3 linked regions of the Saccharomyces cerevisiae S288C genome follow. The protein of the gene in region 1 interacts with the protein of each later gene in a biochemical or structural test. Each region holds a gene or a part of one and is shown in the gene's direction. Other genes may lie near its edges.

Region 1 (7,337 bases):
TGTATTTTAAACCTCTCCGAAAATAATTTAACAGATGACAGATTAAACCACTTAATGAATAACATGCCAGAAAGGAGCATACTATTACTGGAAGATATTGACGCGGCGTTCAACAAAAGAAGTCAAACTGGTGAACAAGGTTTTCATTCTAGCGTAACATTTAGCGGTTTACTGAATGCCCTGGATGGCGTCACATCTTCTGAAGAAACTATTACATTCATGACTACCAATCATCCTGAAAAGCTAGACGCGGCTATAATGAGACCAGGTCGTATTGACTACAAAGTCTTCGTTGGTAACGCAACTCCATACCAGGTAGAAAAAATGTTTATGAAATTTTACCCAGGTGAGACTGATATATGCAAAAAGTTTGTAAATAGTGTTAAAGAATTGGATATCACCGTAAGTACCGCCCAGTTGCAAGGACTTTTCGTTATGAATAAAGATGCACCACACGATGCGTTGAAAATGGTCTCCAGCTTACGGAACGCTAATCATATTTTCTAGGTGCTAAGTGGCGCCTTACTACATAACTTGTATATAATAAAAATTCAGAAGATGCTTTAACTTTTTCTCGTTAATAAGACCGAGTTATTTGCTATTACGAACAAAAGAGTATATGATAAAGAGGCTTAAAAATACCCCTTCATTGACTATCCAGAAAAGCCTGCGTTGCAGCTTCAATATGATAAGGATATACTTCCCTCAAACCTTCTGCAGTTGCCCTTGTTCTAGCATCCAGCAGAATTTTTCTTAAAATGGCCTGAAATCCACATGCCAATAATAATTTCTTGTTATATTCTTGACTAGACTCTTGATCTTCATTTTGCCGTTGGAGAAGATCTTCTAGCTTATTCTCCTCCGCATCTAAACTAAGCTGCCGTAGCAAATAATTGGCCAATGCTTCCGTATCCATGGAAGAATGTTAGGAACTGTTGCTATTGTTGTACTTTGGTTATACGACAGTAAGTAACGTTGACTTGGTGACCGAAAATAGACACGAAATCGCTACCCGTTTCCCCAGAATATCACTCCTCACGATGTACCTCGGCGGCTAATCTTTTTGGTAGCCTTTTGTGATATATATATAAATAAATAAGTATACATACATATATATATATATATATTTATACAGCTACATTGTTTTCCTCCAAAATTTTCTGTTGGTTATGAATCGCAAAAGAAGTTTTCAGATTGTGTCCTCTGTTACTATTTCGTTAAGAAAGGAAGATATCGTCTACGGCTGGTGTGACGTAAGTATTGCGTTGTGCTCTAAAAATGAATCAAATCTGGTCTACAGGTCCCCCAAATTTTTACTTCAACTCTGAATGGAAAGAAAATAAGAGAAATGACAGGACAATTGAAGACTCTTTAAGAGAACTAGATGGGTTGATCCATTCCTTGGAGAGAACTCATATTGAAGTACAAACAAACCCAAAGCTAAAGAACGATGTCACAGCTTTAAATGATATTAACAAGAAAGAAAATAAAGAAGAGATCACTCATGAAAACTATACACACCAGATTAATAGTATTCCATTGACAAGCTCAAATTTAAATCGGCATTTCTCCTTTTCTAGAGACTACAACCAATCTGATAATAGCAATAATAATTATTACAGGGAATATTTATCCAAACCAAGGTATTTGCAGCAGTCAACTAAAGAACAAACTTTCAATGAAATTAATAAAAGAAAAAGTGCTGCAATTATTCCCCCTTGGTTAAATATTCCAGAAAACTCAAGATTTTTTGTAATAAAGTCCTCGTCTTTGAAGCATGTCAAAAGGTCGTTTTACAACGGAATTTGGTCGTCTACTCATTTCGGCAACAAAAGGCTATCTGAGGCATATAAAAAGCTTAATTCGGGAGCCAAAGTGTTTTTATTTTTTTCAATCAACACATCAGGAAGATTCTGTGGCGTTGCAGAAATGGTATCGGATTTGAAAATGGATTTGGACACCAGTATATGGGAAGATGAACAAAAATATGGCAAAGCCTTTAAAGTAAGATGGGTGATCGTGCGTGATATAAATAACAGATCGTTAAAAAGGTTTTTGATACCATCCAATGAAATGAAACCGATAACACATTCCAGAGATACTCAAGAAATTCCATATTCGATTGGAATTTCAATAATTAATCTATTTAAAACTCAAGATTCTGATATTTTCTCCTTCTTGGATGAGACGTATGAATAGACCTTATCCCTCATTTATCAACATTTTATTCTCATTTATTATTAGTATTATTATTATTTTTAATATTATTTTTATTTAAAATTATCCTAAAATTACTTCTACTGTTATAACATCCAATCCATAAGAAGCAAAAACAAAGTTTTCATATTAAGCCATCGTAAAGGTTTAAGGCACCAATAATAGAGGGATCGACTTTAGAACCTTCTCTGAATTCGTCCAGCGTAATGTAACCATCTTCGTTCTTATCCATCAACTTGAAGATCTTCTTTACCCTCATTTCGGGCGTTGCCTCATCCTCATTAAGTGTAACCATAGACCCCATCATTTTATAAACACTCGCCACAATGGTTAGCATTTCATCAAATGTAATATATCCATCATGGTTCAAATCATAAAGTTCGAAAGCCCAGCTCAGTTTTTCCTCCAAAGTTCCTCTGGACGTTGTACTCAAAACTGTGATAAACTCTTCAAAATGTATGAATCCATTGTTGTCTTTATCAAAAACTGTAAAAAGGTGATTAGCAAAATCTTCAGGAGAACCAAATGGAAAAAACTGTTTGTATATCTTAACAAAATCTTCCCTAGCTAGTTGGCCACTAGGGCAATCCCTCAAAAATCCTTTATGCCATTGCTGGATTTCTCTTCTATCAAAATAGGTGGATTGTTTCAAACATGTCAGGTCATCTTTGGAAAGCTTTGACGTCTTGGCTCCCATTTTTTTTTTGAATCAAAAACAGTTTTCAAGCACAAAATAACTCTCGCCGATTCTTAAACTAGCAACAATTATAAAACAGGAGGTAATATCCCTAGTTCATCAGTTCAATCGTTGACAAATTAAACATTATTTCAGTACTCTATGGTATAATAATAAAAAATACACCGAAGAGTTACCCTTTTTTCGTTTTTAATGATCAATTCTGGCTCATTTTTTTACTTCCTGAGCAGTCAACTACTACTGAAAAAAAGAGGCTAATGGGTACGCATTTACCTAAAAACAATTAGATCCCTGCCTTGGATCGTAATCTTGTTTATCTATCCTTTTTGGACATTGACATCTATTTGTGTCGCAGTTAATTGCTTTCTGGGTACGTTGACTTTTTCAGTTCTATATCGGCCCGTTGCTTACTCTGTTCAACTCACTTATTCTTTTGTTTCGGTTTGGGCTGCTGCATTTATAGATTAAAAATAAATTTCAAATTTCCACGCTAACAAATAGAGCTAAATTAGCAGTTTCATTGTTGGCTATATTTTCATTACAACTTTTGATCTGATAACGTAAAAGAATTCAAACAAAAACTATCTAAAAAAATACAAAGCAAAAATCATGTCTACTTTACAACGTCGTAGAGTCAATAGGGCGGATTCTGGAGATACTTCCTCCATTCATTCTTCTGCTAACAATACCAAAGGAGACAAAATCGCAAATATTGCTGTTGACGGGGATGATGACAATGGAACAAACAAAAAGATTGCATATGACCCAGAAGAATCGAAATTGAGAGACAACATCAATATCCCTACGTTAACGTTGATGGAAGAAGTCTTATTGATGGGCTTAAGAGATAGAGAAGGATATTTGTCGTTTTGGAATGATAGTATTTCATATGCTTTGCGTGGTTGTATAATTATAGAATTAGCGTTAAGAGGTAAAATCAGAATCTTAGATGATTCCGCCAGGAAAAGGTTCGATCTTTCCGAAAGGTTGATTGAAGTTATTGACAGTTCCAAAACTGGGGAAGTTTTACTGGATGAAACTTTGCAATTGATGAAAAACGACGAACCTTTGTCAATTTCTAACTGGATTGATCTTTTAAGTGGTGAAACATGGAACCTTTTAAAGATCAACTATCAATTGAAACAAGTAAGGGAAAGATTGGCAAAAGGTTTGGTCGATAAAGGTGTATTGAGAACAGAAATGAAAAATTTCTTTTTGTTTGACATGGCGACACACCCCATTGCAGACGCCAGCTGCAAAGAAGCCATTAAGCGCAGAGTACTTTCTGTACTCGTATCGAGGAACATGGAATTAAGTTACAATGAATATTTTCCGGAGACAACATCTTTCAAAATCATTAGAACTTTAGCTTTAATATGTGGATCATATGGGGCAAACGTATTGGAGAATGTCCTGACTACGTTGGAATATGAGAAGAGAGATAAGGCAATTAGTAGAGCTGAAGAAATAATGGCACAATTTTCGCAATACCCATTTGATTTAGAAAAGGAAACTGAGTTAGGTGTCTCCGTTAATTTAAACAAGGAAGTTAAAGAAGAGATAGAAAACAATCCTGGTCATGATTTACAATTGGAAGTTATTGCTGGTGTATTTGAAGTCTTTTCAAGAATGGATATGCTATTATGAAAATAACAACAAAAATCCTCTCTTTGAAACATAAGGAAAAGTCAAGCTTTTTTTTATAAGCCTCTAACATTAATAAACGAAATTTGTATATATGTATATACATATACGGAGTGGATAATAAATAGACCAAACTTTTTGTTATTATATACGCCCACATTCGTATTCATTGCTTTCTTGAATCCAAATGCTTTAAATATGGAGATAAAAATCCGCCATCGCCATATTTATTCAAGTAATATTTTTTAACTCTCACATCTTGAAATATTGATGGTTTTGATGACACATTAAAGTGCAAGCCTTCATTAAATGCGTTTATCAACGACCTTGACTCATTTGCATAAGCTTCACCACATGACTCCCACCAAAAGCCTCCGCCTAAATTGTTATGTGTCACATATTCAGCCTTAGTTTTGACTGATTTAGTGTTATCATAACTGATAAATATTGAATTTTTTTCATCAAAGCAATATGCTGAAACATATTTTGGATCGTATTGTTCTATTGTACCAATCTTTGGTAAATTTTTGTAAGGCCAGATGCCCTCCTTGCCATCAGCTTTATCTATTTCTTTAGTGGGCTTGCCCACTCCTTTGAAAATTTTGTTAATTAATACAGTATTTTGATTGAATGGTTCGAATTTGTTATCTTTGATATGGAAACTTCTTCCGTAGGCGGCCATTCCCAGTACTAATTTTCTAGAATTGACGCCAAATCTATCGATCATATAATGCATGGCAAAGTTTCCATTCAATTCCGTCTCACTGAATAGATTGCTGTGATATCCTGTTGTTTCTGACCACGAGCCATAATAATCGTACGTCATCATATTCCAGTAGTCAACATATTGATCAATTTCTGTGATTGGCAAGTAAAATAATTTATCCTTGAATGCAGGTGCCGCAATAGATAATTGAAAATGATCTTCAGTACGTTTCCCAAATATTTGGGATTCGAGGCTGTTTAGTTTTAATCGCAGCATTCTGACCAGTTTCAGATATCCGCGAGGTTCTGATTCATTGTTACCAGGGAACTCCCAGTCTAGATCAATGCCATCAAATCCTAATCTGAACATTGTTTCCACCGACGAATCAACAAAATTTTGTAAGAGTTTATCATCTTTAATTATGATTTTGAAATTTTCACTATCAGACCAGCCCCCAATTGACATGATAACTTTAAATTTCTTATCAGAACAGGTATTCTTCAAATAAAATAGTTCACCAATGCAACCTAAGGGTAGGATGTTTTGGACACTATTGTTCGAGCTTTCTTTAATTAGTTCTGAATTTTTAATTGCCAGCGATTTATACAAATTCATTTCTAGATCAGACCAACTATCCGTGTTTTCTATACCACCAGTTCTAGAGTTTATTTTGAAAAATGCATAGTAAATGTGAGACACTTGCTTCAAGTTTATGTCGTGAGGGAAATGAAACCTCGGTTTGTATGGGGACCAATTGGAATAATAGACCCCTGATATAAAGGCTTCGTCTCTTATATGGGTTCCATGATTTTGGACATTACTGGGAACTCGATGTCCGCCATTGTTAAAGTTGTCTCTAATATCATCCGACCTTTGGTTCTTAAAAATTTTATTATATAAACACATTTCAATAATAATCGTTATAAAGATAAGTAGTATTAGTAGGTGAGACACTAAGCTGCTTTTTGATCTGTGCTGAGCTGAGTGTCCTACCATATGATCACTCTTGTATCGTCTACTTATAGAGGTTGTTAGTACCAACCTGCAAATACAATTGTTGGACCATACTACCACAAAAGGTTCTTTTCGTTGGTGTATCCTCACAAATAATGATTATTCCACCAAAATCACCAAATTATTGTGTCAAACTAACTGGGATTACCCCACTATTGATTTTTCCAGTTTTTCCGCAATTTTCGCAGCATGTTTTACTTTTATAATGGCATTGTTGCATTACAGCGCCAGTTGTAGGTATCGATGATTTTATGTCAAAGTTTTCTTTCTAGCCAAACTCAGTTATGTCAACTGAACAAGATGCTGTTCTTGGATTGGCCAAAGATTTAGAAGGTATAAATTTGCTTACTGTGCCCAATCTCGAGAGAGGACACCAAAGTAAATTATGCAAAGAGAAAACTACTTCTGATTCATCTTCGTCAAGGAAGCCTTCACAACAGAGAGACAATTATAGAAAGAGACGTCCGAAACTTATATGTATCCCATATACGTCTTTTCTGCATACTGGTATGCACAATTTTTTGACGAAACCACCAAGAGATATATTTCATGAAAGTAAAGAAGTAGCTCTGTTTACCAATGGCCGGGCTTATACAATCCTACGCAAAGACCTTATACCAAATTTGAAAGAAAGTATTGCTGAATTGTATGAAAGCTCGCTTCTTGAGGCAAAAAAGCGGAAAGTCCCGTATTTAGGCCATGACTTATTTGCTAATATTGATGAGTTCGTTCCCATGACAATATCCGAATTAGATAGTGTATCACCGTGTTTTTCATACATTGAGAACTGGATACTAGATAATCCTGGTAAGGATTTTAAGATCGGCAAGAAATTTACTGTTGTAACCACAAGACATCATATCGTAGATTTGACTATGCATCTCTTTAACAGGCGAAATAGACAAACGTCACTAATTGTAACTTATATGGGGGCGGGCCTTCTTTCATTTTGCAGAAATGTAAAAAAAGATTCTCAAATGTCCAAAGAGGGCATTTATTCAAATGATCCAAATATGAAGAAAATTTGCTATTCAGGATTTGAATTTGAAAATTGGGTAA
Region 2 (8,496 bases), 280 kb from region 1:
AAAGGTAAACGAAGGTCTTTTTTTCGGTTTGGTTCTGAAAGTAAAAACAATGACTCTGAAAAATCCGTTAGAAAGCCATCGGTGCCCTCTACAATAAAGAAATCAACAAATATCGCACGAACTTCGACGGCTGAAACTTCTGCCCCTGATATACCGCCAAGAAGTCCAAATAGGAATGCTCATAGCAGGAGCCATTCTATCCAGGCACCATTACAAAAGGAAACATTAAAGAATACTAATCCATTTTTGAATGCTGAGGATACCTTAGGAGATTCTCTTGAATTAACACAGTCCAAGGAAGCGTCAGGAAACGATCACAAAGGAATTGAATATTTACAAGAAAACAACATCATTGGGCAGAGAACCAACCCCTTCACAACAAGCGCAAATTCAAATGCACATTTCTCCAAGATAAAACGTTCGAGGCCTCCACCACCGCCTATGGACATGAAGTCAATAACAACGTCAATAAGCAACAATACTACTAAGGAAGAAATAGAGAGTAATAATGATTCTGAGCGGGATAGTATTGCAATCTCATCCACCCACAATCAACATAGGCGGCAGCGTTCAGAAGCAGAAAAGTTGGTAGATGATATTGAAAATTACATTAATGAACACAAGGTAAGTTCCGGTAGCTCACTATCCCTAGACACGTCTGAAAACTCAGATACTAAAGCATCGCAAGATAAGTTGCCAGTAGATGTCATGGAAGCTCCCATTTTGAGAAATGTCAGCGCGGAGAGTTCCTTAAGCTACGTAAAACCACTTATTGTGGATAATGAAGAAGTAAATAAAGCAAGTAACGGAAATTTAGTACAATCAGATCATCTAAAAGAATTTTCTTCGAATCTGGATGATGGGGATGATAAATTTTCCTTTAGTACATCGGCTAGTGGTAAATCCACCAAAAGCCTTCAGCAAGTTTCTAAAGACGAATCTAGTGGTTTTAAAGCTGCACATTTTGATTTTGCATATAAATCAAATGAGCACCTTGGGAGTGATGGAAGTATTGCAAGCGCCAGAAAGCCTCTGCGGATAACTAATGAGATTGATAGCGGTTCTTCCAACGAGGATGATGATGATGGTCTTCAGGAAAAAGGTTTTGTGGATAGTGAAAGTAAAGCATTTATAAATTACGCAAGTGATCAAGGCTCATCTATAAAAAATGACGTCTCAACACAAGAGCCTGAGTTACCAAGTCATCGTAGAATATTTAGGGTGGTTAATGAAGATCGCCCTAGTTTCTATTTAAATAGTGTAAACGATACGGGCAGTCTAACCGACAAGCATTCTTTTGACACTGCATCATCTGGTGAGTATGATGCCAAGTCAAACTTCTCTAGCCAGTCAGGACTTTCTATATCAAAAGGCTCTAAATCAACTGTTTTGGCTGCTCTTGACTCAAACGGAAACACAAAATCATCAAATAAAACATCCGAGTTAAACAGTTTAAACTCCATTTCAGAAAGTTTAGTGCCGGCTGCTCACTCGTTCAATGAACACACAGTTACTATCCCTGCAACGGTGGATTTACCAAATCCGGTACATGATGCCCCAAGCGAAAGATCTGTCAAATGTTCACCGTTAACATCTGTCGTATCGAACAAATCGGAAAAGTCCGTGCCTTTGGTTTCTAGTTACGTAGAAGAACTGCGACTAAAGTATTACAAGACTTCTAACTTTTTACAAGCGCCTCCTAACTTGCCGGTTGCTCTAAAACAAAAAAATAATTTGATTCAACCCAAGAATATTAAGGTCAAGTTGAGGACAAGTTCTAAGCAAATTGGTATCAAGCATGGTAAAGTTAAACAGAAATTACTGGCGTTGGAGACAAGAAATGAAGAATCAGATGGAACCGCTACAGGGCTGAAAAATAAAATCAATGTTGACCACACAAAGGAATTCCATAAATTGTTAGGGAAGGAAAATGAAACTGGCTCTATTTCAAAAAAAGAAGGCACTGACGCAGAACAAGCCGAAGACTACCTCAAGGACATACCCGGTGATGAAGCATATAACAGTGATGATATAATGGCGCCTTTACGAGAAAAAAGAGGGCAAAACGGTTCTGTTGATTCCGTGTCAAGATCTAACACGGTAGTCAGCTACTACACAAGGTCTCAGAACAGAATGAGAAGTGGAACACTGGATAATGATTACGTGAACAGACAAAAGCTTCCTACACATATCTCTCTTCAAGATTATCGTGATGCTAATGCTAGAAGTAATATATCGCGTCAGGACTCTGTCTCCACAACGAACTCTGATGTGGTAGACCTCAGCTATTCTCTGGGGCATGGCTTGCGTGTGGCAAACCCTGATTCAGACCCAGAATGATATCCTTCTCTGTAGTTTTGTAGATGTCATATATGTACGTTTATGGAACAGCATTTTAGAAAAGTATTACCCAGCTTATCACTTCGTTTTTTTTTTCTTTCCGTGTACTCGCTACACGTAGAAAGAAATCAGAAAACAACAGCTCGACAAGTGAAATTTGACGTTCATTAAGACTCAGTTAAGATTGCCTTGAGAATAAACAAAAGTAATCACAGTTAACTATTGAACAAGAGTGCACCTATGACTTCACTTTCTTCACAGCCAGCGTACACGTTGGTTTTCGATCCTTCTCCGAGTATGGAGACTTACTCGAGTACCGATTTTCAGAAAGCTCTTGAAAAGGGATCTGATGAACAAAAAATTGACACGATGAAATCAATTTTAGTTACAATGCTGGAAGGAAATCCAATGCCTGAATTGTTGATGCACATAATAAGATTTGTCATGCCTTCTAAAAATAAGGAATTAAAAAAGCTTTTGTACTTCTACTGGGAAATTGTTCCCAAACTAGCTGAAGATGGAAAATTGAGACATGAAATGATTCTTGTCTGTAATGCCATTCAACACGATTTGCAACATCCTAATGAATATATTAGAGGTAACACATTAAGGTTTTTAACGAAATTGAGAGAGGCCGAACTCTTAGAACAGATGGTTCCCTCTGTCTTAGCGTGCTTGGAATACCGTCATGCATATGTTCGTAAGTATGCAATCCTAGCAGTTTTCTCCATTTTCAAGGTCAGCGAACATTTACTTCCCGATGCTAAAGAAATCATCAATTCGTTCATAGTAGCTGAAACTGATCCAATATGTAAAAGAAATGCATTTATTGGGTTAGCTGAATTAGATCGTGAAAATGCCTTACACTATTTAGAGAACAATATTGCTGATATAGAAAACCTAGACCCTTTATTACAAGCTGTCTTTGTTCAATTTATCAGACAAGATGCAAACAGGACCCCTGCTTTGAAAGCCCAATATATCGAATTATTGATGGAACTGCTTTCGACCACGACTTCCGATGAAGTCATCTTCGAGACCGCATTAGCCCTAACTGTGTTGTCTGCCAATCCAAATGTCTTGGTTCCTGCGGTTAACAAATTGATTGACTTGGCCGTCAAGGTTTCTGATAATAACATTAAGTTAATTGTTCTAGACCGTATTCAAGACATCAATGCTAATAACGTAGGTGCTTTGGAAGAGTTAACCCTGGATATTTTGAGAGTCTTGAATGCAGAAGATTTAGACGTTCGTTCAAAGGCGCTTGATATTTCAATGGACTTGGCCACATCCAGAAATGCTGAAGATGTTGTTCAGCTTTTGAAGAAAGAGCTGCAAACAACCGTAAATAACCCAGATCAAGACAAGGCAATGCAGTACAGACAATTGTTAATAAAAACTATTCGTACCGTGGCTGTAAACTTTGTAGAAATGGCAGCAAGTGTTGTTTCGCTATTATTAGATTTCATCGGTGATTTAAACTCGGTTGCCGCCAGTGGTATCATTGCCTTTATCAAAGAAGTGATCGAAAAATACCCACAACTTAGAGCCAATATCCTTGAAAACATGGTTCAAACGCTAGACAAAGTGAGATCTGCTAAAGCTTACCGCGGTGCATTATGGATTATGGGTGAGTATGCTGAAGGAGAAAGTGAGATACAACATTGTTGGAAGCACATTCGTAACAGCGTAGGTGAAGTTCCTATCCTTCAATCAGAAATCAAAAAGTTAACACAAAACCAAGAACACACCGAAGAAAATGAGGTTGACGCTACCGCCAAGCCAACTGGTCCAGTTATTCTACCAGACGGTACGTATGCCACTGAAAGCGCTTTCGATGTGAAGACTTCTCAAAAGTCAGTTACCGATGAAGAACGTGATTCTAGACCTCCAATTCGCCGGTTTGTTTTAAGTGGTGATTTCTACACAGCTGCCATTCTGGCCAACACCATCATTAAACTTGTTTTAAAATTCGAAAACGTTTCCAAGAACAAAACTGTCATCAATGCTCTAAAGGCGGAAGCTTTACTAATTTTAGTTAGTATTGTAAGAGTGGGTCAAAGCTCTTTGGTGGAGAAAAAAATTGATGAAGATTCTTTAGAGAGAGTTATGACATCTATTTCTATTTTATTGGATGAAGTTAATCCTGAGGAAAAGAAGGAAGAAGTTAAACTTCTGGAGGTTGCATTCCTGGACACCACCAAATCCTCATTCAAGAGACAAATTGAAATTGCAAAGAAGAACAAGCATAAGAGAGCATTAAAAGACAGTTGCAAAAACATCGAACCAATTGATACGCCGATTTCTTTCAGGCAATTTGCTGGTGTGGATTCTACTAATGTGCAAAAAGATAGTATTGAAGAAGATTTACAACTGGCAATGAAAGGAGATGCAATCCACGCTACTAGCAGCTCTAGTATTTCGAAGCTGAAGAAGATAGTACCTTTATGTGGCTTTTCTGATCCAGTTTACGCCGAGGCTTGTATTACAAACAATCAATTTGACGTCGTATTAGATGTTCTTCTTGTTAATCAAACGAAAGAAACATTGAAAAACCTACATGTGCAATTTGCAACTCTTGGTGATTTGAAGATTATTGACACACCACAGAAGACCAACGTGATTCCTCATGGCTTCCACAAATTCACTGTTACTGTCAAAGTTTCCTCTGCTGACACAGGTGTCATTTTCGGTAATATTATTTATGATGGTGCGCATGGTGAAGATGCTCGTTATGTTATTTTAAACGACGTTCATGTTGACATTATGGATTATATCAAACCAGCCACTGCTGACGATGAACATTTCCGTACCATGTGGAATGCATTTGAGTGGGAGAACAAAATATCGGTCAAATCACAACTACCAACATTGCATGCTTATTTGAGAGAACTGGTCAAGGGAACTAATATGGGTATTCTAACACCATCAGAGTCGTTGGGAGAAGATGATTGTAGGTTCTTAAGTTGTAATCTGTATGCGAAGTCGTCCTTTGGTGAAGATGCCCTAGCCAACTTGTGTATCGAAAAGGATTCCAAAACCAATGATGTCATAGGTTATGTTCGTATCCGATCAAAGGGACAAGGTTTGGCTCTGTCCCTAGGTGACAGAGTGGCATTGATTGCTAAGAAGACCAATAAACTTGCTCTCACTCATGTTTGAACCACCCTGAGCTGATGCAATGTAAGTTATAATGTCAAAGGAGATAAGAATAAAACTTAAAAAATTCGAAAAGAAATAAAAAAATAAGGAAAATCTTTAAATAGATTTTAATTGCGTAGGAATCTTTGTTCTCATTTTTAAACAAGTATTCACTTTTATGTACATTTTCTTTCCTAAAAATCTTTATACAGAGTTGAGTTGTGAGTTGTGTAAGAGACGTCCAATTTTATAACAATTTGTAGACATCTCAGTGCCCCAAAGAGAACTATATGATTGAAAAATGGAGAGAGATAGTATCTTGTACAGTTTATATATTTACATGACGAATGGGAAATTATATATGCCCTTTGCCTTTCTGCCATAGAGCATGGCTAACTGGCCAGGACCATGAGATTGTATTCTTATTTCTCCTCTCCGAAAAATGGGAACTGGAACCCACTCAACAAAGTTCTCGCCTGGTAATCTAATTGAGCTGAGGTGTTTATATTTATGTGCATACCAAAAGTTTTAGGCCATGAGTCCTGGTTTGCATCGATTTCAGGGAAGAATTTGATATCTTCAGCCGTCAGGCCGAAACTAATCCCACCAAATCTGTTCCCAGACTGGTTGCTTATACCTTTATATTCTCTGATTCTTGGTAGGACGATTTCGGTCAATGTGCTTAAGAACTGAGACATTTCTTTTCCCTTTAGTTCGACTTTAGCTCCCATCTGATGACCTTTTCTCAGTTTCCAGGTTGGAACATCATTTTTGGAAAAAATTGGATGAGGTTTACATCCAGTAATTTGTTGTAATTGTAACGCAGCGGTGATAGCCAATAGCTGATTTTCTCTCGCTTCCCTAACAAAACAGTTTATTACAACACTTTCTAGCCCAGGAATGTTACTCCATTTGATAGGATGAATGTCAGGTAGTTGAGCTTTCGAACCTCGAGGATTTTTCGGTGGTCTGTTCAAGTGGTATGGCGAATCACCACTCCACGCTCTTTGTTTTAGACCCTTTACCACCGCAGCGTTATGTGAATAATTAATCAATAACAAATCAGATTGTAAAGTGTTAAGGTAATGGTCATTGAGTCTATCTGCATGAGTGTCTTTTGGTTTAAATCCAGGTGACCTAATATCACTTTTGTCATATTTCAATTCTGGAAATCTAGGGGATAACTTTGACTTATCAATTTTCACCAAGTGATGAACTGGTTTGACCAAAGAGCATGCAGATTTGGGCTTCACACAGGAGTGAGAGAATGATCTGTGAGTGACTAGTGAAAACCTTTGCATTTTGTTCGTGAATCTCGAGCCCTCTTCAAAGTGGTACAACTAAAAAAACAAAGGAGAGTATTTACACTATTTCCGGTCCTGTCTATTACTTTACAGATACCTCCCCAAATTAGTTATAAAATTCTAAACAGATGCTTTTCCTGTCTTTTTATTCTTCTGTTTTCGAAAGGCCCTTCGTAGATGATAGGTGATTTTGTCGTGTTCGCTTTTACCGTAAAGCGAATAAAGTAGTAGATGGGTAAAACTTGATGCGAAAATAGACAGTTTGCAAACAGCACAAAAGGAGCTCCGAAACAGCCTTTCTTCTTTTTCTAAATAGGTTATTAATGAAGAGTATGGGTAAGTCATTAAGGATTCACATTATGCAATCTTTCCCAGGGTCGGCACACCCACTTTCTAAAGAATCCGCACGCTTATGTTAGTTGGCAACGAATCACACTCAAGAGGTTTTACAATGAATACTGATCATGTGAAACATGATTAAGTTACTCTAATAGAGAATTGAATATCTTGATCACACTGCACTTCAGATGTTGCAATTGCGTTATAAGAGAGGATGTATTTGTAGTCCTTTATGCAGGAGGGTAATGCGTCAATTCAAATCGTTGCTTTAATACTCTGTCAGCATTGGTAACACTATTATTGGACGTACAAGACAATGTTCTAGAAAGTGGTAATTTGGACCCGTGAAGCGGTCACAGACACGTGTTGTTGAAGTGTTGATGTTTACGTGGACTATTTATGTTTCGTTATTGCTAGTGTTAGCAGGTACTTTCTTAATGAACCGAAATACGAATACAGATATAATTGATACTTTTAAACGAGAAGTCGATTTGCCAATACCTGCGCAACCAGGTCCACCATTCCCGCTTGTTACTGACTATTGTGACATTGTATGTGGATTTGGCCGCGGATCCGCCGAATTGGGTATTCCCACTGCCAATGTACCTATAAATCAGTTACCTAAAGGTATCAACGATTTGGATTTAGGGGTTTACTTTGGGTTTGCTCACATTAAAACTGTTGATGGTCAAGAACTATCGGTGGAAACAAGGCGGGATGGAAGAACTGTGGTTTATAATTACGGTCAATATTTAAGTGAAGCGAACGATGATTTGTCCGTACTTCCTATGGTACTTTCAGTTGGGAAAAATCCATTCTACGGAAATGATTTCAAAACCATGGAATTACATATTATACATGATTTTAAAAATGATTTTTATGGGGCCAGGGTCAAGTTCAATATTTTAGGTCATATCAGACCCGAATTGAACTACACTACTAAGGAAGCTCTGATCGAAGACATCAATATCGATATTAGGACTGCGCAGACTGTCCTTGCCACTCCACCGTATCAAGTATTCAAACAACAATTATAGAGATCTGCGGGAGTGATGAGGCTAGTAGTTTTTCTTAACGGTCATTAAGTATACATTTACATATTTATACCTTTTAATAAATGACAATGCCTTTTGGCTAAGGTTCTTCAGTAAACATTTCCTCTAATGTATCCATCTCCTCTGGGAAGTATGACTCACAGAATTCTGTTAAAGACGGCAAGACGCTCTGTGCAAATTTTTTGTCTATTTGGGGCCATATTTTTCTGACAATATATTGCCTCTTGTCCAAATATGACCTAGAAGTGTCGAAATAAATTAAACGGCAATAACAGTTCCAGAACATACCGTTCTGTAGGTAGTACTCCCAACCAAAT
Region 3 (7,022 bases), 200 kb from region 1:
TAGTATATATACATATATATATATATATATATATTCAAATAAATTATAACGTATTAAATAATATGTGAAAAAAGAGGGAGAGTTAGATAGGATCAGTTGGTCAACTCATGGTAGTATTCGTCATAATGTTGTACTTCACTAGCTATTTCTGTAGCATCAAAATCTGATGTGTGTTTGGTGTCCCTAATCAAATCAGTGACTTCGTTCAGGTTCAATTCTAAAAAGTTTTCTAAGAACTGGCCAACTTCCGTATTTTCGTGATTGCCTTGTAAATTGTTCAAGACATATGACCATGTAGCTTTCTTATTGGCGTATGCATATATGTTGACGTCGACTGCGCTGTGACCATGCGTGGTCCAGCCAATTTGGGCCCTAAATGATACCATGTCATTCAGTTTGTCTTGGATAGCATTTGCGTTGTCATCCAAATGAATTAATGTTTCTAAATCGCTATCCGTGTAATCGTAAATACCCAAATCTTTTTCCAGGATCTCATGTTTGATGAAATTTTCTATTTTGCTGCTTGCGCCCTTATGCTCATGAACAAAATCTACTAGTTTTCTTTTCAAAAACTCACCTGAATGGGTGGCGTTGGCGAGCACCTGTGGATACCAGACATACTGAGGATAGCTAGCAGTGACTTGTCTTGAAGTGACTAAACCACCCGTTTCATGATCCGACGTAGAGACCAAAACAGTCTCCGTATCGGAATTTTCAGCAAACTCCAAAACGTATTGGAATGCTTCATCGAAAGCCAACACCTCCCTTACCTGCGAAGCTGGATCGTTTTGGTGACCAGCATGATCAATTCTGGAGCCTTCCACCATTAAGAAAAACCCATTAGAATCTTTGTCCTCATTGGAAGCTTTTTCCAAGGCACCCAAAGCCACCTTGACTTGTTCCTTAAGGGAAGGATACTCCTTTTCATCTCTGTCAATTTCAAAAGGAATGTCGTTATCTGCAAAGAGACCCAAGAAAGGTAAAGTAACGTTTTCACCGTGGCTTTTCAACAAAGAATCAAAATTTTTACGGTCACCCACGTACTGCCAGCCATTAGATTGAGCCTCATCGATTAAATCTCTTCCATCTTTTCTAGCACCGTGGTGACCATATGGAGAAGCCTTTTCGCCTTGAGGGTAGAAATGGCTCCTGCCGCCACCCATGAGTAAGTCTACTACTCTCCCCAGAGGATATTCGCCTAACTGGTGCGTAGCGATAAGATCTTCCTGCCATCTGTAATCAACATGTGAACTGAATGAAGCCGGAGTGGCATCTGTGATTCTTGTCGTAACAACAAGCCCAGTGAGATAACCTGCTAACTTAGCCGCCTCGAGCACTGTACCACAAGGTCTGTGATGCGGATCAACACCGATGGCCCCATTATAGCTCTTTAATGCACATGCAAATGCGGTGGCGCCCGCAGCTGAGTCAGTGACTAGTGAGTCCGAGGACCTTGTTCTCGAAGACCCGATAAAATGCTCGTCAAGTGTCAGGATGTCGTCTATAGGTAAATCATTAACATGCTGGTTGAATGATCTTGCCATGGACAAAGACGCAGGTCCCATCCCATCCGTCACGAAGAATATGACATTCTTCTTCTTGTGTGATGCAGAACGTAATGCAAAACTGCTTGGAAATGCCAGTTGCACTAAAACCAGCAACAAACCAATACAGACCACAGTGGATACTATTATCTTTGATCTCTTCGAGATCCGTCTCTTTTTAGGACGAGAGCTCGAGTCAGATCCAGGAACAAGACGTGTCTGTTCGCTTGGTAATGTGTGAGTCATCATGCTGCTAATGCGCGTTCAAATAATGTCCCGTATGCTGATATGTAAATGTTTATGTAGCCACTTGCTGGCAAAATGTGGAGCACGAAAAAATATAAACGTTTAGATACACTTCTTTCTTTATATACTAAAATCCCTTTACTTTTCCTCTACGCGCGAAGCTTATCGCTATCGTCAATGCTGCTATTCATGTCGATGCTGCTCTTCCGTTAGACGCGCCTTACGAGGGGTGTACAAAGAGGACATCCGCTGCTGTTCTTGCCACTCGTTCGTCAGTTTTGCCCTCAACGCTTCACATTTCTTGTCAATCTGCTCTTCCGAGAGCGTTTCTTCCTCCTCCAGTCGGTCCCGTAGCTCGCTAACTTGTACTTCAATCTCACGTTTCTCCATATGAGTCTCTATCTGTTTCTGCACAGCAAGAGGCCTGCTTGCCTTGTCATGGCTGGCCTTTTTGATCGCATTTTGTCGTTGTTGCCGCTGCTGTTGACTACCCTGTGGTCTGCGCCTATTGTTGCTAGCAAGTGATCGCTGCACGTGGCCCGACGTAGATGACCCTTTTGCCGACTTGAGCCCTATTCCGTTGTACGACATGACTGGACGGTGATGCAGTAGCTGTTAACCGTCGAATGGTATTGTGTAGAGCTCAAATTAGGATTACACAGATTATAATACCACACTTATAGTGCCATTCTTGAGGTCTTACTTGATTCTTCCTTGCCTTTACCCGCACGCTTAATATAATTTTTCCTTCTTATCTGCTACGCCTTCTTCTAGTAGGAAAAAAAAAAGAAATTTGGTGAAGAAACAGTCTGAAAAGGAGATAATTTGCGATTTAATTCGTTTATACATTTTATGAATCTATAATACTGGAAGTGATATCCATATTCGCAAGCAGTTCCACTCGAAAGCATGGCCCTCTTTCTCAGTAAGAGACTGTTGAGATTTACCGTCATTGCAGGTGCGGTTATTGTTCTCCTCCTAACATTGAATTCCAACAGTAGAACTCAGCAATATATTCCGAGTTCCATCTCCGCTGCATTTGATTTTACCTCAGGATCTATATCCCCTGAACAACAAGTCATCTCTGAGGAAAATGATGCTAAAAAATTAGAGCAAAGTGCTCTGAATTCAGAGGCAAGCGAAGACTCCGAAGCCATGGATGAAGAATCCAAGGCTCTGAAAGCTGCCGCTGAAAAGGCAGATGCCCCGATCGACACTAAAACAACCATGGATTATATCACTCCATCTTTTGCTAACAAAGCTGGTAAGCCAAAAGCTTGTTACGTCACTTTGGTGAGAAACAAGGAGTTGAAAGGTTTGCTAAGCTCCATTAAATATGTGGAAAACAAAATTAACAAGAAATTCCCATATCCTTGGGTTTTCCTAAACGATGAACCTTTTACTGAAGAATTCAAGGAAGCAGTCACCAAAGCTGTTTCTTCCGAAGTTAAGTTTGGTATTTTGCCCAAGGAACATTGGTCATATCCTGAATGGATTAATCAAACCAAGGCTGCTGAAATTCGTGCAGATGCTGCCACCAAATACATATACGGTGGCTCCGAATCTTATAGACACATGTGTCGTTACCAATCTGGGTTTTTCTGGAGACATGAATTATTAGAAGAGTACGATTGGTACTGGCGTGTGGAACCAGACATCAAGTTATACTGTGATATTAATTACGACGTTTTTAAGTGGATGCAAGAAAACGAAAAAGTTTACGGCTTTACCGTTTCTATTCATGAATATGAAGTGACGATCCCAACACTATGGCAAACGTCCATGGATTTCATCAAAAAGAACCCCGAATACTTAGATGAAAACAACCTGATGAGTTTTCTTTCGAACGATAATGGTAAAACATACAATCTGTGCCATTTCTGGTCAAACTTTGAAATTGCAAACTTGAATTTGTGGAGGTCACCAGCCTACAGAGAGTATTTTGACACTTTGGATCATCAAGGTGGATTTTTCTACGAAAGATGGGGCGATGCTCCCGTTCATTCTATTGCTGCTGCTTTGTTTTTGCCAAAGGATAAAATCCATTATTTTTCAGACATTGGTTACCATCATCCACCTTATGATAACTGCCCATTGGACAAGGAGGTCTATAACAGTAACAACTGTGAATGTGACCAAGGTAATGATTTCACTTTCCAAGGTTACTCTTGTGGTAAGGAATATTATGATGCTCAAGGGTTGGTAAAGCCAAAAAACTGGAAAAAATTCCGTGAGTAGAAATCTTGGAACATACTGTTTCTTTGTTTTGACTTTATACTTTCTATTTATATTTTATTTTTATAACTGGTTAAGTACACATAGGACTGCGTATCAAACATATAAGTGAGGCAATCCACATTTTTTTTAAAGATTCGAATATTTTTATTCTCATTAGCGTATTCCGAGAATAGTTCGAAAAAATATAAGGTATATCAAGAGTTTTTACAAGTGAGAGGAAAGAGGAATAAGCTATAAGCAACAAAAGCGTAAAAAAATTAGCTGAAGACATAGAACTATGGATGTTCTCAAAGAGGTGTTGTCACTAGACCAAGATAAATTTGACCAGCTGAAGGAAACGAGCCGAGATAAAACAAATGAAACGGATGATCCTTTTGAAAACTATTTGAAGGATTGTAAATTTAAAGCGCCTTCAAACAAAGATCAGTCACCATTTGCTAAACTTAAATCATTACAGGAAACTCATTCTAACAATGAAGCGGCTATTAATATAATTATTCCTCAATTGATTGATTACTTAACCGAATTCACTAATAGGTTATCAAATTACACACAAGATTTAGACTTCATTAAAAAAAAGTCCAATGAATTACAGTCATTGCTCGAATACAACTCCACTAAACTGGCACATATCTCTCCTATGGTTAATGATTTGATGATTCCTCCTGAACTCATTGATGACATCATTAAAGGGAAGATCAATGAAAGCTGGCAGGATAATATAACATTCATAGCAGATAAAGAAGAAATTTATAACAAGTATAGGTCCAATAATCTCGATCAAGACAACAAGGACGCAGAAAATTCAGCAATGCTAGCACCAAAGGATTTTGATAAGTTATGTCAACTCCTGGACATCCTAAAAAATGTTATTCTAGAAAGGTCGAAAAGACTTATTATTTCCAAAATCAAAACTTTGAGGAGTCATAACCCAGTACCATCGCAAAGGATACAAAACAAATTATTAAAAGTTCAAAAAATTTTCCCCTTCATAAGAGATAATAATCTCTCCTTAGCCCTTGAGTTAAGACAGGCATATTGTTACACAATGAAATGGTATTATAGAGAATACTTTTCTAGATATATCAGGTCATTGACTATTTTGCAATTTCAACAAATCGACTCGCAATTTGCATTGGGTAATGGCCTTTCTACAACTTCAGTGAGTGGGTTTAACAATTCACCATCATTGTTTTTCTCAAATTATCTAACTACATCCGCTTCAAATGCTTTCTATAATAAACTCCCTGTAACAGATGAGAAAATTGATAAATACTTTCAGATAAAGAAAAGATTGAACATTTTAACACAAGAAGACAATACGGTAATGGTATCCCAAATTGCAGAAAATAACACAACGAAAAACTACATTGAAATTGGATTTAAAAATTTAAACCTTGCAATTTTAGATAACTGTACGGTGGAGTACCATTTTTTAAAAGATTTCTTCGCTATGAATGGCGATAATTTTGAGGAAATTAATGGTTTATTGGAACAAATATTTCAACCAACTTTTGATGAAGCCACAACATACACTCAACAACTGATCCAATATAATTATGACATTTTTGGTGTATTAATAAGTATTCGTGTGGCCAATCAATTACAATTTGAATCAGAAAGGAGAGGAATACCGTCTATGTTTGATAGTTTCTTGAATGGTCAATTAATTCAATTATGGCCTCGATTTCAGCAATTGGTCGATTTTCAATGCGAGAGCTTACGAAAAGCGGCAATAACTACAAATGTGGCAAAATATGCCGGCAACTCAAGCACATCCAATAGTAGCCCTTTGACCTCACCTCATGAGTTAACTGTACAGTTCGGTAAATTTTTATCAAGCTTCTTGACGTTGGCAATAACACATAAGCAGTCCATAGACGAAAGATCTGAACCCTTATACAATTCCATCATTAGATTAAGAAATGATTTCGAAACAGTCATGACAAAGTGCAGTAAAAAGACGAAATCACCAGAAAGATTTCTGGCTACAAATTACATGTATTTATACAATAACCTACAGCAATTGCATCTACATTTAAATATAAATGACTCGGATGCACAAAACTACAATTTTGATTCTGCTGAAAATGTTGGTACGAAAGTTGCGAATGACGACGATAATGATTCAAGCGTACCACTAATAATCAGAGAGACCGAAAATCATTTCAAAACTTTAGTTGAAGCTTTCACCAGAAATTGATGAATGTAACGATTGTATAAGACATGGAGCGTATAAAGTATATTTTTATGTAAAATGATCTTTATGATTTCTTATTTTGTGTGGAATATAGTCAAATGTTTAACGACCTACCATTATATAGTCTGTCTCAATTAAAATCCTTCAGGAACACCTTTTGCAGGTCTTTGACTTAAATCAAGGTAAATACCGCCGTTTTTGAACCCAAACCACTTGAATCTCACTTGATCGTCACTATCCTCATTTGTCGTTTCATCACGCTTGATATCTGACCTTCCCTCCTCCTTAGAAATAGGATCTTGAATCCGCTGAATAATTTTATAAGCTTCCACATCAGAATAAGGCACACCAGTCCTTGGATCAAAGTACTGACATTCTTTATTTGTGATTAAACATTTTTTTCTTATACCATTGGCTAAGAAGACACCCGTTGGAGGCTGTGTTTTAATTTTGATTTCCAAATCCTTATTTATCTCTGTGTTGATTTGATGGACTATTTTCTTATCGTATTCCCCAAAAGATGGGAAATTTGCCAGAGCTGACAGATCAAGTGATATATCTACGGTAGGAGACGGTACTGAAGACTGAGGAGGTGATGGTAAAATGGAGTGGAAAACAGTTTTCATATCTTGTGGACGCTGAGTGGCGGATAACCCATTTGTGTATGACCATCGATCACCAAATAAGTTTGTGTTAAAATCTTTTAGATTTGGAGGAGCATTAGGAAAATCATAAAGTGTAACAAAGTTCCTTGAGGTTAATTGCTCAGGCCCTTCGTAGGTCTGTGTTGATAA

What was found. Proteins that work in one complex are often made in the same cells at the same time.
Region 2: the proteins of VPS74 (region 1) and SEC26 form a complex in vitro, tested with the Saccharomyces cerevisiae proteins (2 studies listed by BioGRID).
Region 3: the proteins of VPS74 (region 1) and KRE2 form a complex in vitro, tested with the Saccharomyces cerevisiae proteins (2 studies listed by BioGRID).

What each region holds. Positions count from the first base shown.
Region 1 is NC_001136.10:1,218,336-1,225,672, reverse strand, and holds VPS74 (Vps74p), read left to right. Parts: upstream 1-3,523; coding exon 3,524-4,561; downstream 4,562-7,337. Other genes in the region: bifunctional AAA family ATPase chaperone/translocase BCS1, read left to right, coding at 1-507; WIP1 (Wip1p), read right to left, coding at 647-916; PHO92 (mRNA-binding phosphate metabolism regulator), read left to right, coding at 1,279-2,199; FRQ1 (frequenin), read right to left, coding at 2,342-2,914; CTS2 (putative chitinase), read right to left, coding at 4,725-6,260; DXO1 (Dxo1p), read left to right, coding at 6,563-7,337.
Region 2 is NC_001136.10:934,901-943,396, reverse strand, and holds SEC26 (coatomer subunit beta), read left to right. Parts: upstream 1-2,580; coding exon 2,581-5,502; downstream 5,503-8,496. Other genes in the region: YDR239C (uncharacterized protein), read left to right, coding at 1-2,340; mitochondrial 54S ribosomal protein uL5m MRPL7, read right to left, coding at 5,904-6,782; FMN1 (riboflavin kinase), read left to right, coding at 7,505-8,161; mRNA splicing protein PRP42, read right to left, coding at 8,259-8,496. UniProt on the Saccharomyces cerevisiae protein: The coatomer is a cytosolic protein complex that binds to dilysine motifs and reversibly associates with Golgi non-clathrin-coated vesicles, which further mediate biosynthetic protein transport from the ER, via the Golgi up to the trans Golgi network.
Region 3 is NC_001136.10:1,418,458-1,425,479, forward strand, and holds KRE2 (alpha-1,2-mannosyltransferase KRE2), read left to right. Parts: upstream 1-2,699; coding exon 2,700-4,028; downstream 4,029-7,022. Other genes in the region: alkaline phosphatase PHO8, read right to left, coding at 93-1,793; U2-type spliceosomal complex subunit CWC21, read right to left, coding at 1,974-2,381; VPS52 (Vps52p), read left to right, coding at 4,306-6,231; VPS72 (Vps72p), read right to left, coding at 6,363-7,022. UniProt on the Saccharomyces cerevisiae protein: Mannosyltransferase that transfers an alpha-D-mannosyl residue from GDP-mannose into lipid-linked oligosaccharide, forming an alpha-(1->2)-D-mannosyl-D-mannose linkage. Required for the attachment of the third mannose residue of O-linked saccharides.